Macaca mulatta: one gene and its partner. The protein of the gene in region 1 interacts with the protein of each later gene in a pairwise test. Links are inferred from orthologs where the notes say so. Each region holds a gene or a part of one and is shown on either strand. Other genes may lie near its edges.

Region 1 (10,830 bases):
TAAAAATCCTGAGTCCCATTAAGAACAAAACCCAACCTTGTAACAGGGCCCTGCAGGATCTGGCCCTGCCTCTCCCATCGCATGTTCTGCTCCTCCTCCTTGCTCACTGATGCCAGCCACACTGGCCTTGCTGTCGGGGATGTTCCTTCCTCACCAACTTCGCACGCCACAGCCTGCCTGGGATATACTCCCTTCATCTCCCGTGTTTCTGGTTTTCCTTCACCTCTTCACTCATCACTGTCTGAAACTGCCTTATTTTACGTTCCCCAGGAAAGTAAACTTCATGTTCCCCTCTATTAGATCTCTAGTGCCTGGCACATAGTGAGTACTAGTGTATTACTCACGCTGCTAATAAAGACATACCCGAGACCGGGTAATTTATAAAGGAGAAGTTTAATTACTCACAGTTGAGCATGGCTGGGGATGCCTCGGGAAACTTACAATCATGGCGGATGGGGAAACAAACACATCATTCTTCACATGGCAGCAGGAAGTGCCAAAAAGAGGGAAAAGCCCCTTATAAAACCATCAGATCTCATGAGAACTCACTCACTATCACAAGAACTGCATGGAGGTAGCCGCCCCCAGGATTAAATTACCTCCCACTAGGTCTCTCCCGTGTCACGTGGGGGTTACAGGAACAATTCAAGATAAGATTTGGGTGGGGACACAGTCAAACCATATCAACTAGGGCTTTGTTGATTTAATGCACATAAGCCAACCATACCCCACAAAGTAGGTACTAGCCTTATAGTACATGTGAGGAAACTGAGGAATGAGGCATCTCATTCATGTTGGGAATATTAATTGAAAAACTTGTCAGCTCCTGTGGTCCTTGGAGTTCCTTGAAAATAATGTTATATGCCAATACTTCTTATAGTACTGTGAAGACGCACCATATCCCATATCTCTTTTGTCAGTGGAAAGAACAGATTTGGAGCCAAGTAAAAGTACCTTTGGCTACCTGTGACGTCTAGGACAAGTTCCCACCTTTTGGTGCCAGTTTCTCCATCTATAAAATGGGGACAACGCTTAACTTAAGAGTTATTTTAGATCCAATATAAAAATTCCCAGCCCAATGCCTGACATGCAGTAAACAGGCAATGATACTGTTTTTCCTCTCTACGAGTCACAACTACCCAGGAAGGGAGTTTTCACCATTCCTGGCCATCCACCCCATGCTGGACACTGGGGGAGTGCTGACTGTGATGAACGAAACAAACAGGGTACTGGTCCTACTATTACAGAATGTTTGCTTCATAAGAACAGGCACTGACTGTATCATCTCTCAACACAACGGAATGAAGCTAGGAATGAGTAACAAAAGAAAAACTGGAACATTCACAAATGTGTGGAAATTAACAGATTTCTAAACAATCAAGTGGTCAAAAAAGAAATCACAAGGGAAATTAGAAAATACTTCGAGATTAATGAAAACAAAAACACAAAATACCAAAACTGAGAGTGTGTGATGAAAAGTGTGCAGAGAGAAATTCATAGCTGTAAATGTCTATATTAAGAAACAAGAAAGTAACTATGTGAGGTGATGGGTGTTAATTAGCTCGGCTGTAGTCATCATTTCATAATGTGTATCAAAACATCACACTACTTAATAATTTTTTATAAAAATAAATTTTCTTACAAAAGAACAGGCGCTATGTCTGTCTGGCTCACCATTGTACCCAACACCCAACAGGGTGCCAAGGAACATAAAAGGTACTCAAAATATGTTTGTTGATTGGAGTTTACAAGGAAGAAAGGTATTTTATTATACATCCGTTCCCTTCCCACCCACACACAGCTTCTTCTAAGAAAAGAAATTGAGGCTGGGCAAGGTTAAAAGCTAGCTCCTGGTACCTTTGCATCCACACTCAGCTTATCTGTACCTTAAACCAGACTTCATCAAACTTCAGTCTTCACAAGTCACTTCATCATTTTTGCTCTACCTACTCATTGCCTGTGACAGAAATCAACTCAGTTTGCTTACCTGTATAAACTTAAAAGGAACTTTATATCAATCACTTGTCTTAGAAGGTAACCACAAAAATACAAAACAATAAAAATAAAAACAATGTTAACATGAATTTCAGTTGCCTGAAAGCTGTAAGTCTGCTTTTTTAAAAGAGAAATTGGAGTTAAGCAGATTTTTCATTTTTTGATCATGACCCTGAAAGAGAAATATATTTGACATCAAAACTCAGTACATATCCTTGTCTACATATACATGTGAAAGTTTCATAAAACAATATTGATATTTTCTATGCTGCAATTCTATTTCATTTTTAAAAATGCTGGTTGTATCCCATTAAACTGGTTTCAAAATAAATATATCATGTACACAACAAAAAAAACACTGGGTTAGAGGGCCAGTAAGCTCAGTGAGTATCACTGAGACTTCATCCTTGTCTCACAAGGACTAAAAAGAGAGTAACATTCTCATTATGTAGTTCAATGCCACACCCATATAACTGAGACATACATGTCACAATCTGGGAGAAGCCTGTCCTAGATTTAAATACCCAGTTCTGCCTAGAACATGACTCAGACACATAGTAAGCTCTTGAGTAGAGTGAAGTGCAGATGATAATGACACCACAGGCACGATCACACACCACTTAAAAATATCTTAACACCTTTACTTAGATCTCATCTCATACTTTTAGTATTTCTTCAAATTTACTTTGAAAAAAGAGCTTCACTGTGTGTGGCTGTCATACACATTTTCCTACCCAACCATGGTCCTCTTTCTTCCTCTCAGGCGCACTTCATCTAATTTTTTTAGCACTGGCCTGGCCTTTTTGGAGGAGGTGGAGTAGCTCTTCAAAAAGGCTTCAAATACAGTTTCAGTGTTGGGATGGGTACTGAGGAAGGCCTTCTCCAGGACATAGAGGTCTACTCCCTTATCCTCTGGAAGTGCCGAAATGAAGCTCAGCCCAAAGTCTATGAGGACAATGTTCAGCTGTTCCAGGGGGGGTTTCAGGAGCATGTTGGAGGTGGTGAGATCACCATGAATGAGGTCTTCATCGTGCATTCGAGCCAAAACCTGCCCAATTGTCTTGGCTAAGTTGGAGAGACTTTGGGGAGTTTTTTCAGTCTCCATAGTAGACTGAATATAATCTCGAACAGTCACTGAGCCTTCAATTTCTTCCATATATAAGCAGTTGGAAGCATAGTCCACAAAAAAGACAACTGGGGCAGATATTCCTGAAATCAAGACATAAGTGGTTATTGGGTTGGATTTTTTTTTAATGGATAAACTTAATTTTCAAAGATTAAGCCAGTTTTTCCATCTATATCTACTTATTTCAGGATGATTTAGGAATGCTACAGGGAATGGTACAACTGAATGGAATATTCCCCTGCTCCTGCCCCCTGCAGGACTATACCTGGGACCACCCCACAGCTAAACTGAGGAGGCCATAGCTTCCTCCTCCCTTCCAAACCACCCTTTCTCACTGAACTTCATTTGTCACACTCACTCTCTAAAAAACAAACAAAACAAAGGCCGGGTGTGGTGGCTCATGCCTGTAATCCCAGCACTTTGGGAGGCCGAGGCAGGCGGATCACTAGAGGTCAGAAGTTCGAGACCAGCCTGGCCAACAGGGTGAAACCCCATCTCTACTAAAAATACAAAAATTAGCAGAGCGTGGTGGTATGCACCCGTAGTCCCAGCTACTCGGGAGGCTGAGGCAGGAGAATAGCTCAAACTCAGGGGGTAGAGGTTGCAGTAAGCCGAGATTGCGCCACTGCAGCACTCCAGCCTGGGTGACAAAGTGAGACACTGTCTCAAAATACAAAAACAAACAGCAAGGCACAGCCCAGTCAGAGCAGTTTCTACTGATGAGGACACAAACAGGAGGCCAAGCAGTGTGCTGGCTTCGAGGTTCATCTTCACAGTCAGAGAGGACAGGGTTCAAATCCCAGCTCCTTTTCTTATTAGTTGTCTAATCTAATCTTAAAATTACATTAACTTCTCGGCCAAGGCAGGTGGATCACGAGGTCAGGAGATCGAGACCATGCTGGCTAACATGGTGAAACCCCGTCTCTACCAAAAATACAAAATATTAGCCAGGCGTGGTGGCAGGCGCCTATAGTTCCAGCTATTCTGGAGGCTGAGGCAGGAGAATGGCGTGAACCCTGGAGGTGGAGCTTGCAGTGAGCCGAGATTGGCCACTGCACTACAGCCTGGGGGACAGAGCGAGACTCCGTCTCAAAAAAAAAAAAAAAAATTACATTAACTTCTCTAAGTCTCAGTTTCTGCTACAATAAACTCAAATGAATTTTTACTGAAAGTCAACCAGGCTCAGTATACTTTTCTAGAAACTGAGAGATGTATCAATGGGGATACAGCAATAAACAAGCCAGCTATAATACAATCTCTGCTTAACGAAACATATCATAAGAGGCTGAAAACAGAAATATGAACACACAAATAAGTTCGTGAAATCTTCAGTCTCTGAAAGGGCAGCAATGTGTCTGCTTGTTGGCTACTGAATGTCCCCCCTTGCTAGATCTCCCAGCACTTAACAATGTCCTGGCACCCACAAGTACCTAAAAAATACTAATAAAAGAAAGGCACGAAGCGTAAAATTAAAAAGCCAGTACTTCTGAGTCAGAGGCATACGGAGCTGAGGGCCTGGACCGGCCACTTAGTAGCCGTGTAACCTTGGGCAAGTTACTTCTCTCTGAGTGTCACTTTCTCAACTGAGGACAAGGTTTATGGCGCTGGCGCACAATAAATAGGCAATTTAATGAAATCCAACACTTACTGAGCACTATGTGCCAGGCACACATTCGAACATAATACACTGCACACAGACCTCCTCTAATGGTCACAACATCCCTATGACATGGATATTGCTACTATGTCTCCCATTTTACAGGTGAAAAAACCGAAGGTGAGAGGCTAAATAACTTGTTGAAAGGCTACATAAGCAGCAGAGTTAGTATTTCAACCCAGACAGCCTGGCTCCAGTGGGGCAAGTACTTGTAATTACATGTTTCTTAAAACTAATAAATGAAAAGATAATGATCGAAAATTGAAACGAGTCAAATGGGGAAATCAAGGCTCAGGGAAGTTAAAGATGTTCGACGTTGACCAATAATGACAGCGTCCAGATTTGAACCTGGCAGAACGGCCCCAGGACAAACGCTTGACGCTGCAAGGCCACGTGGTTTCTTAAGACTTAACGAATGAAGAAAGGGATGAAAGAATAACATTTCCGAAAGGCTGGCCACGGCAGAAGGCACAGAAGGAGAAACTGAGGCAAACCGAGGCTCGGAGCGCAGGAGAGTCCCTCACCCGCCCAGGCCCCAGAGCCTCGGGGCCGCCCACGCCAGGATCCGGGCCCTCCTTACCCGCGCGGCGGCAGCGGAGGAGAGCCCGCGCTTCCTGCACCGTCCGCCGCCGGCCAAGCCGCGCCTCCAGCGCCGGGTGCCGGTAGCCCTTGGGGAAGCGGTGCTTTATCACAGCCGCGCGGCCCTGGAAGCGGCCGCGGAACACGCGCGCCTCGGCGCCCTGCTTCACCAGCTCCAGGCCTCTCAAGAAGCGGCTGCTTCGCTCCCGGGCCGCGGCCAGAGCCTCAGCCTCTGGCGCGGGCTCCTCGCCATCGTCCGGGGCAGCAGGTCTGGCCGCCGCCATGACTGTGCTCGGCGGTACAGCTCCGACCGACCCGCTCTCTCTGAAAACTGTCGCGATGCTTCGGCTCGCTTCGGAAATCCTGGTACTTCTTCGGTTACCCGAACGCTTCCGCCCCGGACACTTCCGGCCTGTGAGTGGTTACGCCTCCCAACCTTTCGGCTCTCTGAAGCCTTGGGTTCCCTGCAGGAAGGGTTCCTGTGGCCCCGCCTTTCACCTCTTCGGCTATCTCCGTACACGTTCGGCAACTCTCGGTAAGTGGCTCTTCCCTACTCCTTGGCTCTCCGGAAATCTTCGGTGATTCCCGCAACCGGTTTTGGGAGATCACCTCCCAGTTGGTCGTCTCTTTCCGGAAAACTTCGGCTCCTCTCGAGAAAAACGTCGGACGCTCTTTGCTCACTTAAGGAGTCTCCTCCTGGACAGGTGCACCCTCTAGTAGTGTCTTTTTGGAACACCTCTTCCCCTGACTCCTAAATTCCCCCCAGAATGTACTCATACTAGTCAGTGTCGGAAGGGTCAGACAATGAACCGTGTTTCCGACATCCTCTTAAGTGCTAGGATAACTACCATTTAGTGCATTCAGAAGAAATAAGATTAAATGATGAAAATCCTTACAGAAAAGAAAATTGAGACTCAGAGAGGGCAGTGGGGGTGGTGGGATGGGGCGGGGAGTGGGGGCTGGGGAATCCAGGAAAGTTTTCCGGAGACAGAACCTAAACTGAATTGGGAGGAATTAAACTTTTTCAGTTTCTACCTGTTTCATTACAAAGCTAATAACACAGGCTGTAGCAAATTCTTACAATACGGAACTTTGCGCGCACACACACATATAAATAAACTGCCCATCCTCCTTGTGACACCGCTGGCCGTTAGTTTCTTTCCAGAACTTTCTTTTATTCAGTGCGCACACTCACACATCATTGTGGCCTTTTTTCCAACATAAATGACATCATACTGTGGGTTCTTTTGCAACTTGCATTTCATTTTCCTAAACAATTTATCTCGGACTATATTCCATATCAGTACATACAGAACTACCACATCCTTCTACTTGGTCAGGCAGTTTCTTGTTGCTAAGCAGTTGTTTCCAGTTTGTTGTTTTTCAGAAAAACACTTTACTTACTATTGCCAGTTTATTATAAAAGATAGTATAAAAGATAAAAAATGAACAGCCAGATGAAGAGGTACATAAGGGAAATTAAAAATTGTACGTATTTATCATGAGCAACATGTTTTGAAATATGTGTACATTGTGGAGTGGCTAAATCCAGCTAGTTAATGTTACCTAACATACTCATCATTTTGGGGATGAGGACACTTAAAATCTATTATCTTAGCACATTTTTCAAGAATACAACACATTGTTATATCTATAGTCACCATGTTGTGCAATAGATTTCATGAATGTTTCCTCCTAACTGAAATTTTGTGTCGTTTGACTAACATCTCAAAATCCTCCCAATCTCCCTCCTCCTGCCCCAGCGCCTGGTAACCACCATTCTACTCTGCTTGCATGAGTTCAACTTTTCTTACCTTCCTCATACAAATGAGATCATGGGATATTTGTCTTTCTGTGCCTGGCTTATTTCATTTAACACAATGTCCTCCAGTTCCATCCATATTGCTGTAAATGACAGCATTCCATTCTTTTTAAAGGCTGAGTAGTAGTATTCCATTATGTATATAAATGTACCATATTTGTATCCATTCATTTATTGATGGACACTTAGACTGAGAATTGCGAATGATGCTGCAATTAACATGGGAGTGCAGACATCTCTTCAATATACTGATTTTGTTTCCTTTGGATATGTACCCAGTAGTAGGGTTGCTGGATCATAAGGTAGTTCTATTTTTAATTTTTTGAAGAACCTCCATACTGTTTTCCATAATGTCTGTACTAATTTACATTCCTATTAACAGGGTGCAAGGGTTCCCTTTTCTCCACGTCCTTGCCAACACTTTTTATCTTTCTTATGTTTTATCATAGCCATTCTAACAGGTCAGAGGTGATATCTCATTGTGGGTTTAATTTGCATTTCTCTGATGATTAGTGATGTTGAGCATTTTTAAAATATACCCGTCGTCCATTTTTATGTCTTCTTTTGGGAAATATTTCTTTTGATCTTTTGCCCACTTTTAATTCAGGTTTTGTCCTTTCTTACTATTGGATTGGATTCCTTATATATTTGGATATTAACCCCTTATCAGATGTATGGTTTGCAAACATTTTCTCCCTTTCAGTAGTTTGTCTTTTCACTCTTTTTTCTTTTTTCTTGACTGGTCAGAAGCATTTTAGTTTGATGCAATTCCATTTGTCTATTTTCACTTTTGCTGCCTGTGTTTTGAGGGTCATACACAAAAAATCATTGCTCAGACCAATGCCATGGCATTTTGTCCCTGTTTTCTTATAAGAGTTTTATGGTTTTGGCTGTTACATTAGACTAAAGTCTAATCCATTTTGAGTTGATTTTTGCATATGATATAAGATAAGGGTCTAATTTCTTTCACATGAATATCCAGTTGTCCCAACACCATTTATAGAAAAGACTGTCCTTTCTCCATTATGTGTTCTTGGCATTTTTGATGAAAATCAATTGACTATAAGTGTGTGGATTTATTTCTGGGCTCTGTATTCTGTTCCATTGGTCTATGTGCCTGTTTTTATGCTGGTGGCATGCTGTTTTGATTCCTATAATTTTGTAGTATATTTTGAAGTCAGGTAATGTGATGCCTCCAGCTTTGTTCTTTTTGCTCAAGATGGCTTTGACTATATGGAGTCTATTCTGATTCTATATAAATTCTAGAATTTTTTACTTCTACAAGAAATGTCATTGGAATGTTGATAGGAATTACATGGAATCTGTAGGACATTTTAACAACGTTACTCCTCCAGTTTTGTTTCTTTTTTTTTTTTTGTCTCATAAACAGTGCTGCAGGAGCAGGCTTATCCAAGTGATATCACTGGGTTGTAGGTGACAAGCACTTTGAAACTCAACACCTCAGCCAAACTACCCTCCCAAAGTTTTGTGCCTATTTATGCTTCAGTCAAACTCATGTCTCATTTTCTCATATCTTCATCTTCACTGAGTTTTTCAGGTGCTGGAAAGCTCAGTCAGAGGGTGGAGTGGGAGGGTGCTCAGGTTCCAGGCAGCGAGAACAGACACAGGGTACAGTTGGGTTGGACAAGAACCAGCAGCTCCACATGGCTGGAGCAAGTTGGCACTGGGGACAGGCAGGGAGCTGAAAGAACAAGGACAGTGGCCTGGTCCCAGAGGATTTTTCTTGCTGGAAGAGAGGTGCTGTGAGCCTGGGGTGACTGCACCAAGCATGGCCCTTTGAGGCCTTGACCTCTGGCTGCCAAATATGCAGCTGAGCTCTGGGTAGAACAGCCAAGCAGTAAAGGGGAGGGAGGCTTCTACTTTTTAGCCCTTTCTGAGCCTGAAAGAGAATCTATGGCCTCTTCCTCACTTCCCACCCATCAGCACCAGATGCCCATTCATTCATTTATTCACTAATTCATTTAGTAAATATTTATTGAGTAACTACTATAGGCCAGGCACTGTGCTAGGCCCTGAGGACAGAGCTGTAAAGAAAATAGAGAATCATTATTAGTGCCTCCATGGAGTTTATTTTCTAGTGGGTAGAAACTGACAATAAACACATAAGGAAAATGTGTCGTTGACAGGGGCTAGCAGGAGATAAATCAAGCGGGGAAGGGGGATGGGAAAGATGACCTGCATCTGGGCTTGCCAGGGACAGCCCTAGTTTTTACCTGTTACCCTGGAATAACTATCATTAGTGCCCCTGCCTTTTTTTTTTTGAGATGGAATCTCACTCTGTTTTCCAGGCTGGAGTGCAGTAGCATGATCTTGGCTCACTGCAACCTCAACCTCCCGGGTTCAAGTGATTCTCGGGCCTCAGCCTCCTGAGTAGCTGGGACTACAGGTGTATGCCACCATGCCCAGCTAATTTGTTTGTATTTTTAGTAGAGATGGGGTTTCACCGTGTTGGATAGACTGGTCTTGAACTCCTGACCTCAGGTGATCTGCCTGCCTCGGCCTCCCAAAATGCTGGGATTATAGGCATGAGCCACCACACCCAGCCTAGTGTCCCCTCTTTACTCTCAAAAGCATCCAATTTTGGATGATACAATATATGGTTACCCTATGGGTAGTAGAGTGGGGTCGGAGGGAATGATCCAGTTTTATTTTATTTTTTTATTTTTATTTTAACTGAGACAGGATCTTGCTCTGTTGCCCAGGCTGCAGTGCAGTGGTGCAACCTCCTGGGGCTCAAGCAGTCAATCCTCCTACCTCAGCCTCCTGAGTAGCTGGGACCACAGGAATGTGCCACCACTTGCAGCCAATTGTTATCATTTTTTGTAGAGACAGGGTCTCCCTATGTAGTGCAGGCTGGTTACGAACTCCTGGCCTGAAGTGATCCTCTTGCCTTAGCCTCCCTCCCAAACTTCTGGGATTACATATGTGAGCTACCATGCCCGGCCTAATTTTAAATAAAGTGGTTGAGAGGGTGTCCACGAAAAGGTGACATTTGAGCCCTGTGAATGGATTCCTGGGGGAAGATCTTTCCAGACAGGAGGGGCCCCAAAGAGGAAGTGTGCTTGACATGTTTGAGGAAGAGTAAGTTATTTAACCTCTCTGTGCTTTAGTTTCCTCATCTGTAAAAGAAGATTGTAGATAATATTCACCTTGTAGGGTTTATGTTACGATTAAATGGGTAACGAGGTAAAACACATAGAACTGTGCTGGGAACATGATACGCTCTTCGAAATGGAAGCTATGATTATTATGGAGTATTTAGTATGATGACAATTAAAAATGGACCCCCAGGATCCAACCACTGCTCCTTGGCGGGGAAGGGGCTTCCCATTGTGTGGTGTCTTGGGAAACACAGAAACCACCTCCCACTGTAGAAGCCTCTCCTTTGCCCCATCCTTGTGTGGCTTGCAACAAGAACCCTGACTTGTACCACTACTGAGTGGAGGTGTGTTGTGGTTACTGTATTAATTAGCTAGGAAACAAAATAAACTGCTGTAACAAAGTAACCTACAAATAGTGGCTTAAATATGAGAGAGATTAATTCTTGCTTATGAAACAGTCCAGATCTGTTATTCTCAACTTGTTGCTTCCTCCTTTGAGTCTACTCTACTTGTTGCCCTCTCCACTCAG
Region 2 (9,483 bases), on another chromosome or scaffold:
AGGTATACATTGACTCAGCCTAACAAGGTGGGATATCTTGAAGTCAGGGCATTATAGGTCATAGGTGGATTCAAAGATTTTCCGATTGGCATTTGGTTGAGAGTTCAGCTTTGTCTAAAGACATGAAGTTGGTACAAAGGAATGCTTCAGTTCAGAGAGACCGTCTGCCTCTGCCATGTGATGCTGTCCCAGAGCCAGGAAGGAAAGTCAACCACAGCATCCTGGGTCAATTTAAAACCCACTGAAGGAGACTCTGTGGTTTCTAGGGTGTGTGTTAATTCTTGCTTTGCATGGCCTCAGGTCTTGTTCATAATCTGTACCTGATTGTCAGAATCCATTCTGAATAATCTCACGATGCCTATTTTATACTCCAAAGGTGCAGGGCTCTCATGAGGCTTCTCTCACCTCCACTTCCATCATGGCCAGGAATTCATTTTTTCAGTTTTCCCTGGGGTCCCCTTGACTAAGAGGGAGCCTGTTCCATTGGTTGGGGTCTCAGGATTGCAGGCCTTAGGGCAGCCTCACAGCACAGTGCAGGGGAGTTGGCTGGATTTTCCTGAACCCTAAACCCCATGGCTCATGGGATAAGGGAGCTGTGGGCCACCCGGCTTCTGCTGAGATTCCTTTCCCTAGGTGCACGTGCAGGTTCGGCCTTGGCCCTTTCTGTTCTTTTCAGAAGCCCACACAGTGGAGGACAGGACGGTTTGGGGTCAGGGACAGAGGCTCCTGTCACTGAGACTGTCCTCAGTGGGACAGAGGGAAGAGACTATTGTTGCAGTTCGTCTGCCTCTCTGCAGCACTGATGTGTAGGCCCAGCAATTCAAGTCCACTCCTGGCAGCCAGCCTTGAACACAGAACTGATCAGCCACACAGAAAACCTGAAGCAAAGCCTCTAAAGTGCAGCCTCTCAAAAACGCTCACCAGAGGTTTCTTAATCAGACTTAGTGTAGCCAGTGAGCTTCTGTTGCCTCCTGTGACGTGGGTGCTATTTCTCCCACTAAAAGCCCAAACCTCTGCCTCAGGAGACAGGGCGCAGCTGCAGCCTCCTCAACTAAGTGTGAAGGGCTACTTCCTGGGCAACTCAGAGGCTCCTTAAACTCACAATGGTGTGCAAATCTGTGGGCTCACTTTCTACATCAGATCTTCAAAGGTCTCTGTGATTCCAAAAGCTTGGGAACTGTTAAATTTGATCATTTCTGAAATGTCCTCCAGTTTAAAAGTCCTCAGTTCCAGTTCATTTTCAATTCCTGAATAAAGGGATGAGTCCTGGAGCTTCTGGAAGCTGGCCTGGAGCTGAGCACTTGCTGCAGACAATGCCCGAAGCGCAAACCCGCGTGGATTTGGGCTGCAGGTGAAAGCTTCATATTCAGGTCTTACTTTGTGACAGTGAGAGGTGACCAGGGAAGCCTATATGAGGGGCGGGGGCCAACCAGCAGCCCAGCCTGGGGAGCTGCCTTAACCACATCTCACCTTACTTCCTCAGAGCTACATTTTTCTTGAAGGGAACTGCAGATTTATGCAAAATACTAAGCAAGCTGAGTGGCTGTTTTATTTTATTTTAAGCAGTAAGGAAAAACAGAAATTTTCACACCAAAGACCCTGTGCTAGTCTCAGAGGAACTGGTGTTGAGACTGAGGAATCACGGAACACCGCTCTCGGAAACTGTTAGGGCAACTGAAAAAAAAAAAAAAAAAAAAAAAAAGAGTAAAGACAATGAAGAGGCTTAATTCTCCCTGTTAAAAAAAAGGGAAGCAGCCGGGCGCGGTGGCTCAAGCCTGTAATCCTAGCACTTTGGGAGGCCGAGACGGGCAGATCTCGGGGTCAGGAGATCGAGACCACCCTGGCTAACACGGTGAAACCCCGTCTCTACTAAAAAATACAAAAAACTAGCCGGGCGAGGTGGCGGGCGCTTGTAGTCCCAGCTACTCGGGAGGCTGAGGCGGGAGAATGGCGTAAACCCGGGAGGCGGAGCTTGCAGTGAGCTGAGATCCGGCCACTGCACTCCAGCCTGGGGGACAGAGCGAGACTCCGTCTCAAAAAAAAAAAAAAAAAAAAAAAAGGGAAGCAGTGTCCACTCTCCCTTAGAGCATTTTCTTTGGAAAACTTACTGTAAATCTTCCTCTGCCCCTTTGGGGGCATGCAAAGCTTTCTGACAACTAAATAAGCCTCTTGCCAGCTTTGCAACCCAGGACTGTGTTCCTGAAGGACCTGAGAGTCCGTCTTTGAAACATCATCATCAGAGCAGCCAGGGCCCTATCGGCCAGTCTCTGTGGGACGGTGGGGGCCTAACATCTGCTGTGAGTGGTAAATCTACCTCCTGTCATGAAGGCAAGAGTTTATTTTCCTTTGTAACAAGGTAATTAGCAAACGCAGGTGGTCAGGTAAATTGAGGTTGAATCTCCGATGAAACGGGTGTGGCCAAAGGTGCTGTGCAGTCCACTGATCTGAGGACTAGGCATTACTCTTCTTGAGAAGGTGTGCAGTGAGCAATGGGTTGGACCCGCTGGCTAGACTGGCAATGAGATTTCTTTCTGTCTTTGCAGCATCTTAGCGGGTCATTGCCTGTGATGCGCATCTCACTCTGAGTTCACGCCTCTTCAATGATGAAAGTGTTTTCTTCCTCTTCTATCTCTGCAGAGATAGGCTTGCTGGGATAGATTGTTTGTAATTCTATTTCCCTACCACCACAGGATGAGCTTTGGGGGTCAGGCAGCTGGGAAGGAACCCATGCCTAGGCCTTTCACACTCTACATCCATCAGTAGCAGAACTTAAGAGTCTTCCTGGGACTCCATACTTCCTGGAAAGAGGAATTCATTCTTTTCATTGCTGACATTCCTGGGTGTGTGTGTGTGGCAGTTATACTTTCCCCATCCCATTCTGTACCTCCTTCCACTCCGGGGACCCCAAGAGGCCTGGCTCCGCTTGCCCAGTGCACCTCCGAAGAAGGGAGACTGGGAGATGAGGATCCTGCCAGGGGGCCAGGTGTTGGACAAGGTGAATGTGAATGTGGAGGAGAAAGACAGAGGCCTCCCAAGAACCTGATGGGGTCGGGGATGAGGTGAGGGTGCTCAGAAAAGTGCTGGGGCAGGCTCCAGGCTGGGGCCACGGACTGGCCTCACCAGCTGGGGGCTGACTTCTTGGGGTTGCGTTCTGCCTCCCCCTCCCACACACGGCTCTTTGCCCTCTAGAGGCCAAGGGGCAATGGCAGGTTCACAGTGGCACTGCAAGGTTAGGGTTGTTGGGGGTTCTTAGGGAGCAGGGGCACCAGTCCTGCTGTGGCCCTGGCTTCCCCCACCTTGCCCAGGCTCCATGTGCACCCTCAGAGTCCCCCTGGCACAACCTTTCTTCTTCCCACGAGGAACACCCCCACTTCCACTTGGGCCTCTGCCAGGAAGGGTGGGAGCTCTGCCAAGGTGTCCCTCTGAGTGACCACCCTCAGCTGGAGCCACCAGCCAGGCCTCTGCACAGGAGCTGCCCCTGGGCCTTGTGTGTAAAATGGGGGTAATAACAGTATCTGCCTCATAAGGTTGCTGCAAGAATTAAATGAGTTCATACAAGTGAAAGGCACTTAGAACCAGGATCCAGAGGCTTGCAAGGGGTGAGCTGGAGTAGCCATGGTAAGTATGGAGAGGGAGGTGAACTGATGGATATAAAATCGCCAAGGCAAAAAATTTAAAAACAAAAACAACCAGCTGGGCTCGGTGGCTCATGCCTGTAATTCCAGTGCTTTGGGAGGCACAGCAGAAGCATCACTTGAGTCCAGGAGTTGGAGATAAATCTGGGCAACACTGTGAGACGACATCTCTAAAAAAAAAATAATAATAATCACTAAGGCAAGAACCTAGTACACTGTAGGCATTCCCTAAGTGTTTACAATTTTTATTCCAATTATATAAAAATAAAATATATTTGAATAGAAACAGAACTCTAAAAAGCAATAACAAGAAATAGTAACTGGTTGTCTTTTAAAATACTATAAGGTAGGACTACAACTGGTTTCCTTTTTTTTTTTTTTTTTTTTTGAGACGGAGTCTCGCTCAGCTGCCCAGGCTGGAGTGCAATGGAGCGATCTCAGCTCACTGCAACCTCTGCCTCCCGGGTTCAAGTGATTCTCCTCTCTCAGCCTCCCGAATAGCTGGGATTACAGGCACCTGCCACCATGCCTGGCTAATTTTTAAATTTTAGTACAGATGGGTTTTCACCAAGTTGGCCAGGCTGGTCTTGAACTCCTGACCTCAGGGGATCCGCCTGCCTCAACCTCCCAAATTGCTAGGATTTCAGGCATGAGCCACCGTGCCTGGCCTTTTTTTTTTTCTTTTTTATACCATTCTGTGATTTAAACTTTTCGATAATGCACATATATTAGTTTTATAATCAGGGAAGAAAAATCAATGTTTTCTTTAATGCTGAGTTTTGTTAATATTTCTGATATTTCACAAAACATCTTTTGTTGACATTCTACAAATGATACCATCCAATAATGTCCCAATACTTTCTTCTTGTGAAGAGAGTTTATATATCTGTAAAAATGAAAGACAAATTATGACTTGCTGATATCATCATTCACTACTAATTGTCATTATACAAACATGTGTAAGTGAAATTATTCCTCATTCAATTATTGGGTTCATAGTATAACAAACAACAAATGTGATTAAAATATTCCAAGTAGATGGCAATTCATTACTTGTATTCCCTTTAAATTGCTGCTATGGGGGTAACTCTCAAGAACATAAAAACCAAATTTCTATCCATTTAAAAGCACATATCTAGATATTAACTTCATACTAAATTTATTTTACATTTTAAATATACTATGTAAGTTTGATATTGAAAGGTATTCTCTTTCTTAATGTGGAGAATGGTTGTATCAGCTGAGTTTGTAATTATATTTTACATAAACCCACACCTCCCAGTTCTTTGTATCTAAAATTATTTTTTAGTAATTTAAAAAATTAGATTAACTTTCTCAAAAGTTCAAAAAACAAGGAGCCCTGGTGATCAATAAGCAAACAGTATCAGCATTATTGCTCATCTGTCACACTCTTTCTAAAAATATGGACTGGCAAACAAACCTTTTGGACTTCCGTAATATTTGTTATCTCAGGAAGACTTTTCAGAGAAACCTGATGACCTTCCACTTGAGATATTAGGTATTCTTGATTTATTTGTTTTTCTCCCTCTTCAATGTAAACAATTAGAATTGAAGTGTCATTTGCTGAGATACCAAATTTTTTCAAAGCCTCTGAAATCTAAGAGAAAAAAAATGAAAAAAAAACAAAAACAAAAACATAAACAAAACAAGATAATTAACCATTGTTTCCTATGTCTGAAACATTTCCTGATCTGCCTTCTTCCTTGGTCAGGCTCTTATTTTTCATGTCCTAAAAGTTCTCACTGCTTAGTTTTTCACTTTGATGATTCCTTTCCAACATCCATTGGCACTTCCTCGAAAGTACTCCCTGCTTCAAGTTATGCCTTGTTCCTATGGAATCAAGCCCAGCCTCTTGGTGCTGCACAAAAAAACACCTCCTCCCTCTGGTGCCAAGTGGCTCTCCAGCCAGGCGCTTCTGCCACCTGGCCAGTCTGGCCTGCCTGGGGGTCCAGTCACATTTCATGCCCTTCTGCCTGTGCTCAAGCTTTGTCCTCTGCTCGCATGTCCCTTCTCCCCATGGCTTGGCTGCTGAACACATGCTTCAAGGTCCACATTTCTGATGCCACTCCCCACCACACCCTCCTCCCTCCAAAATGAATGGCTTCATTGCTGTACCCCTAGATTTGAATTCATTTTTCCATTATATCATTTATCTCAGGGCATTTTAACTTGTTTATCTGCCTCTCCTCGGGAACATATTTGCCTCTTCTGCCCCTAGAACTGCAAATGGAACAGGGAAAATTTCAACAGACGTTTACTGAATTCAAGAGTTTTCTGAATTATGTCTAATGATCTCAAGGAAACAATAATTAGTAAATTTTATTCCAAGTACTGGGAAACTCTATTACCATGCTGAGATAACTGCATTTTATAAACTTTACAATCATCTGTATTTTAACCTATGCCACAGGTTTCGTAACTTTTCTCTAGATGAAATTAGTACCTGGTTGTTATTAATAGCAGCAGTAATACTAAAAATTCATCAGCAAAATTGCAGTCATTTTTTTCATGTGCTACATGTGTGATGTCTTTGGCTTGATAACTTTCATTGAAAAAGCATTACTGGCCGGGCGCGGTGGCTCAAGCCTGTAATCCCAGCACTTTGGGAGGCCGAGACGGGCGGATCACGATGTCAGGAGATGGAGACCATCCTGGCTAACACGGTGAAACCCCGTCTCTACTAAAAATACAAAAAAAAGAAATTAGCCGGGCGTGGTGGCGGGCGCCTGTAGTTCCAGCTACTCCGGAGGCTGAGGTGGGAGAATGGCATGAACCTGGAAAGCGGAGCTTGCAGTGAGCCGAGGTTGTGCCACTGTACTCCAGCCTGGGCGACAGAGCAAGACTCCGTCTCAAAAAAAAAAAAAAAAAAAAAAAGGAAAAAGCGTTACTATAAGTATTTCAAACCACAGACTCTTCCTACATACTGGGTGTGTGAGTGAGGATGTGTTAAGGACTGTTATAGGTACCAGCAAGTTCCTGGTATATGAAAAAGACATGGATCCCACCCTCAAGGAGTTTACGGGAAGAGGGAAAGATATGCACGCTAGCACACAAAATATCCATGCCTAATGTTTTATCATTTAGATTTCTGTCAGTTTCTTAAGCAAAAAATACTTGAGAGGTCTTCCTGATCCTATATGGTAAGAACAGATAAAATTAACCTCACTTAATTTAGCTAAATTTGTGTTTACTCATATGTAAACTGTCTTAGTAAGAGGCAGGGTAAACCTCAACTCTCTGTCCAGAGCTCTCTTCACTACTATTTTGGTTTATTACTAACCACTGGCTTGCAGGAATTTAGCCTCCAACCCTGAGGAACACATATGTTATTATGACAAGGTCAACAGAAATAGGAAAGTCTACATTACATTGTTATTTGGGGAAAGGTTGAAAATAATTTCAGTAGATAGAGTTCTTGTCTTCATTTTTCCCAGTTTGTAGAGGTGAACTGCTTTGTTTGCTGCCACAAGTATCTGAAATGGATCGACAATCTACCAAAGAGAGCAGAAAGAATTAATTACACATAGAGAATCTGCAGTGCTTGAAAACACATGGTAACTCATGGTTAACTCCACTGTCAAGCTGGTTTACTTCATCACAATTCTTATGGTCTGTATTTTCAAAACTATTATCCCAGCTAGGCGTGGTGGCTCATGCCTGTAATCCCAGCACTTTGGGAGGCCAAGGCGGGCGGGTCACCTGAGGTCAGGAGTTCAAGACCAGCCTGGCCAACACGGCGAAACTGTATCTCTACTAAAAATACAAAAATTAGGTGTGGTATCACGCACCTGTAATCCCAGCTACTCGGGAGGCTGAGACAGGAGAATTGCTTGAACCCAGGAGGTGGAGGCTGCAGTGAGCCGAGATTGCACCATTGCACTCCAGCCTGGGCAACAAGAGTGAAACTCTGTCTCAAAACAAAAACAAAAACAAAAACAAAAACTATTATCCCAAGGGCCTGGGTAGTCAGAAAATCATAGAATTTTAAAGCTGCAAGGACTTATGCAAATAGTAAAATTTTTTAAAATAACATTAATTGAGGGCTAATATTATGGGCATGATCATATTCCAAACATTTTACTTGTGTTATTTTCTTTAATCCTCAAAACTACCCTATGAAACTAATACTATTAATAGTAGTAGTAGTATGTAATTGATGAGGAAATTGAGGCAAAGAATGTCTGAGTTTGAATCCCATCTCTGCCACCTATCACCTAGGGAACTTAGGCAAGTTCCTTAGCATTTTATTTGTTAGAGACACATGAAACAGTATTTACTACATAGGCTGTTGTGAAGATTAAGCGAGTTAGTATACGTAAAGCACTTGGAACAATACTAGGAATACAGTAAGCACTATATAAAGGTTGGCTATGTCTTGTTCAAAGTCCTAAGTAGTAGGTCTGGGATTAATTCCCAGTAACATGATCCCACTGCCTGTGCTTTTTTTTTTTTTTTTTTTTTTTTTTTTTTTTTTTTTTTTTTGAGACAGAGTCTCGCTCCATCGCCCAGGCTGGAATGCAGTGGCTCAATCTCAGCTCACTGCAACCTCCGCCTCCCAGGTTCAAGTGATTCTTGTGCCTCAGCCTCCCGAGTAGCTGGGACTACCAGCACACACCACCATGCCCAGCTACTTTTTGTATTTTTAGTAGAGACAGGGTTTCACTATGTAGGCCACACTGGTCTCAAACTCCTGGCCTCAAGCAATCCACACCCCTTGGCCTCTGTGTGTGCTCTTAACCACTACGCTATGCCTCCTCTACAGACTGTCTTGTTAAGAACCCCCATTTTAAAGATAAGAAGCTGGAGATCCAGGCATTTCCCATGTTAGACCCAGACCACAACCTTTCCTCCTTCCTAGGGCAGGACCTGGCACTTCTGCCTCTATTCACTGTTATAGTCCAGGTTGGCTGCATCTGACTTGGACAAGAATTTTTTCCCTAACAGTGACAGAATTTTAGGCTACCCTATAACATCACAAATATTAACGTATACTTAAATGGCCTGTATGGTTCATTCATTGTTTTTTTGTTTGTTTGTTTTGTTTTGTTTTGAGACACAGTCTTGCTCTGTTGCCCAGGCTGGAGTGCAGTGGCGTGATCTCGGCTCACTGCAACCTCTGCCTCCCAGGCTCAAGCGATTATCCTGCCTCAGCCTCCCGAGTACAGGTGCCCACCACCACGTTCAGCTAATTTTTGTATTTTTAGTAGAGACAGGGTTTCACCATATTGGCCAGACTGGTCTCAAACTCCTGACCTCGTGATCTGCCCACCTCGGCCTCCCAAAGTGCTGGGATTACAGGCGTGAGCCACCACGCCTGGCTTTTTTTTTTTTTTTTTTTTTTTTTTTGAGACAGTTTCACTCTTGTCGCCCAGGCTGGAGTGCAATGGCGCAATCTTGACTCACCGTAACCTCCGCCGCCCGGGTTCAAATGATTCTCCTGCCTCAGCCTCCCGAGTAGCTGGGATTATAGGCACCCGCCACCACGTCCAGCTAATTTTTGTATTTTTAGTTGAGACAGGGTTTCACTATGTTGGCCAGGCTTGTCTTCAACTCCTGACCTCAGGTGATCCACCCACCTCGGCCTCCTAAAGTGCTGGGATTATGGGCATGAGCCACCGCACCCAGCCAGCTCATTCATTCTTACAATTTATATTTACCACTGTAGGATTTATCAGTGATCCATCGATGGTGCCTTCCATGGCCTTTCTTCTCAAGTCTCCCGCATTTTTTACATCTTTAAATAACAGAAGGGTTACCCTGCATTCAGGAAATAGGTCCAGCTGATGTGTTAACTGCATTTCACAGATAAGCAGGATTCTACTGCACA

What was found.
Region 2: the proteins of TP53RK (region 1) and TPRKB interact in binary tests that used the Homo sapiens proteins (3 or more experiments, as listed by UniProt). The link is inferred for Macaca mulatta from reciprocal best matches to the Homo sapiens genes TP53RK and TPRKB.

The regions. Positions count from the first base shown.
Region 1 is NC_133415.1:99,488,504-99,499,333, forward strand, and holds TP53RK (EKC/KEOPS complex subunit TP53RK), read right to left. Parts: upstream 5,704-10,830; 5' UTR 5,642-5,703; coding exon 5,359-5,641; intron 3,205-5,358; coding exon 2,726-3,204; 3' UTR 375-2,725; downstream 1-374.
Region 2 is NC_133418.1:51,077,199-51,086,681, reverse strand, and holds the end of TPRKB (EKC/KEOPS complex subunit TPRKB), read right to left. Parts: intron 9,477-9,483; 5' UTR 9,455-9,476; coding exon 9,314-9,454; intron 7,148-9,313; coding exon 7,025-7,147; intron 5,254-7,024; coding exon 5,077-5,253; intron 4,522-5,076; coding exon 4,473-4,521; coding exon of another isoform or gene 4,435-4,472; exon of another isoform or gene 4,368-4,434; intron 3,806-4,367; coding exon 3,708-3,805; downstream 1-3,707. UniProt on the Homo sapiens protein: Component of the EKC/KEOPS complex that is required for the formation of a threonylcarbamoyl group on adenosine at position 37 (t(6)A37) in tRNAs that read codons beginning with adenine.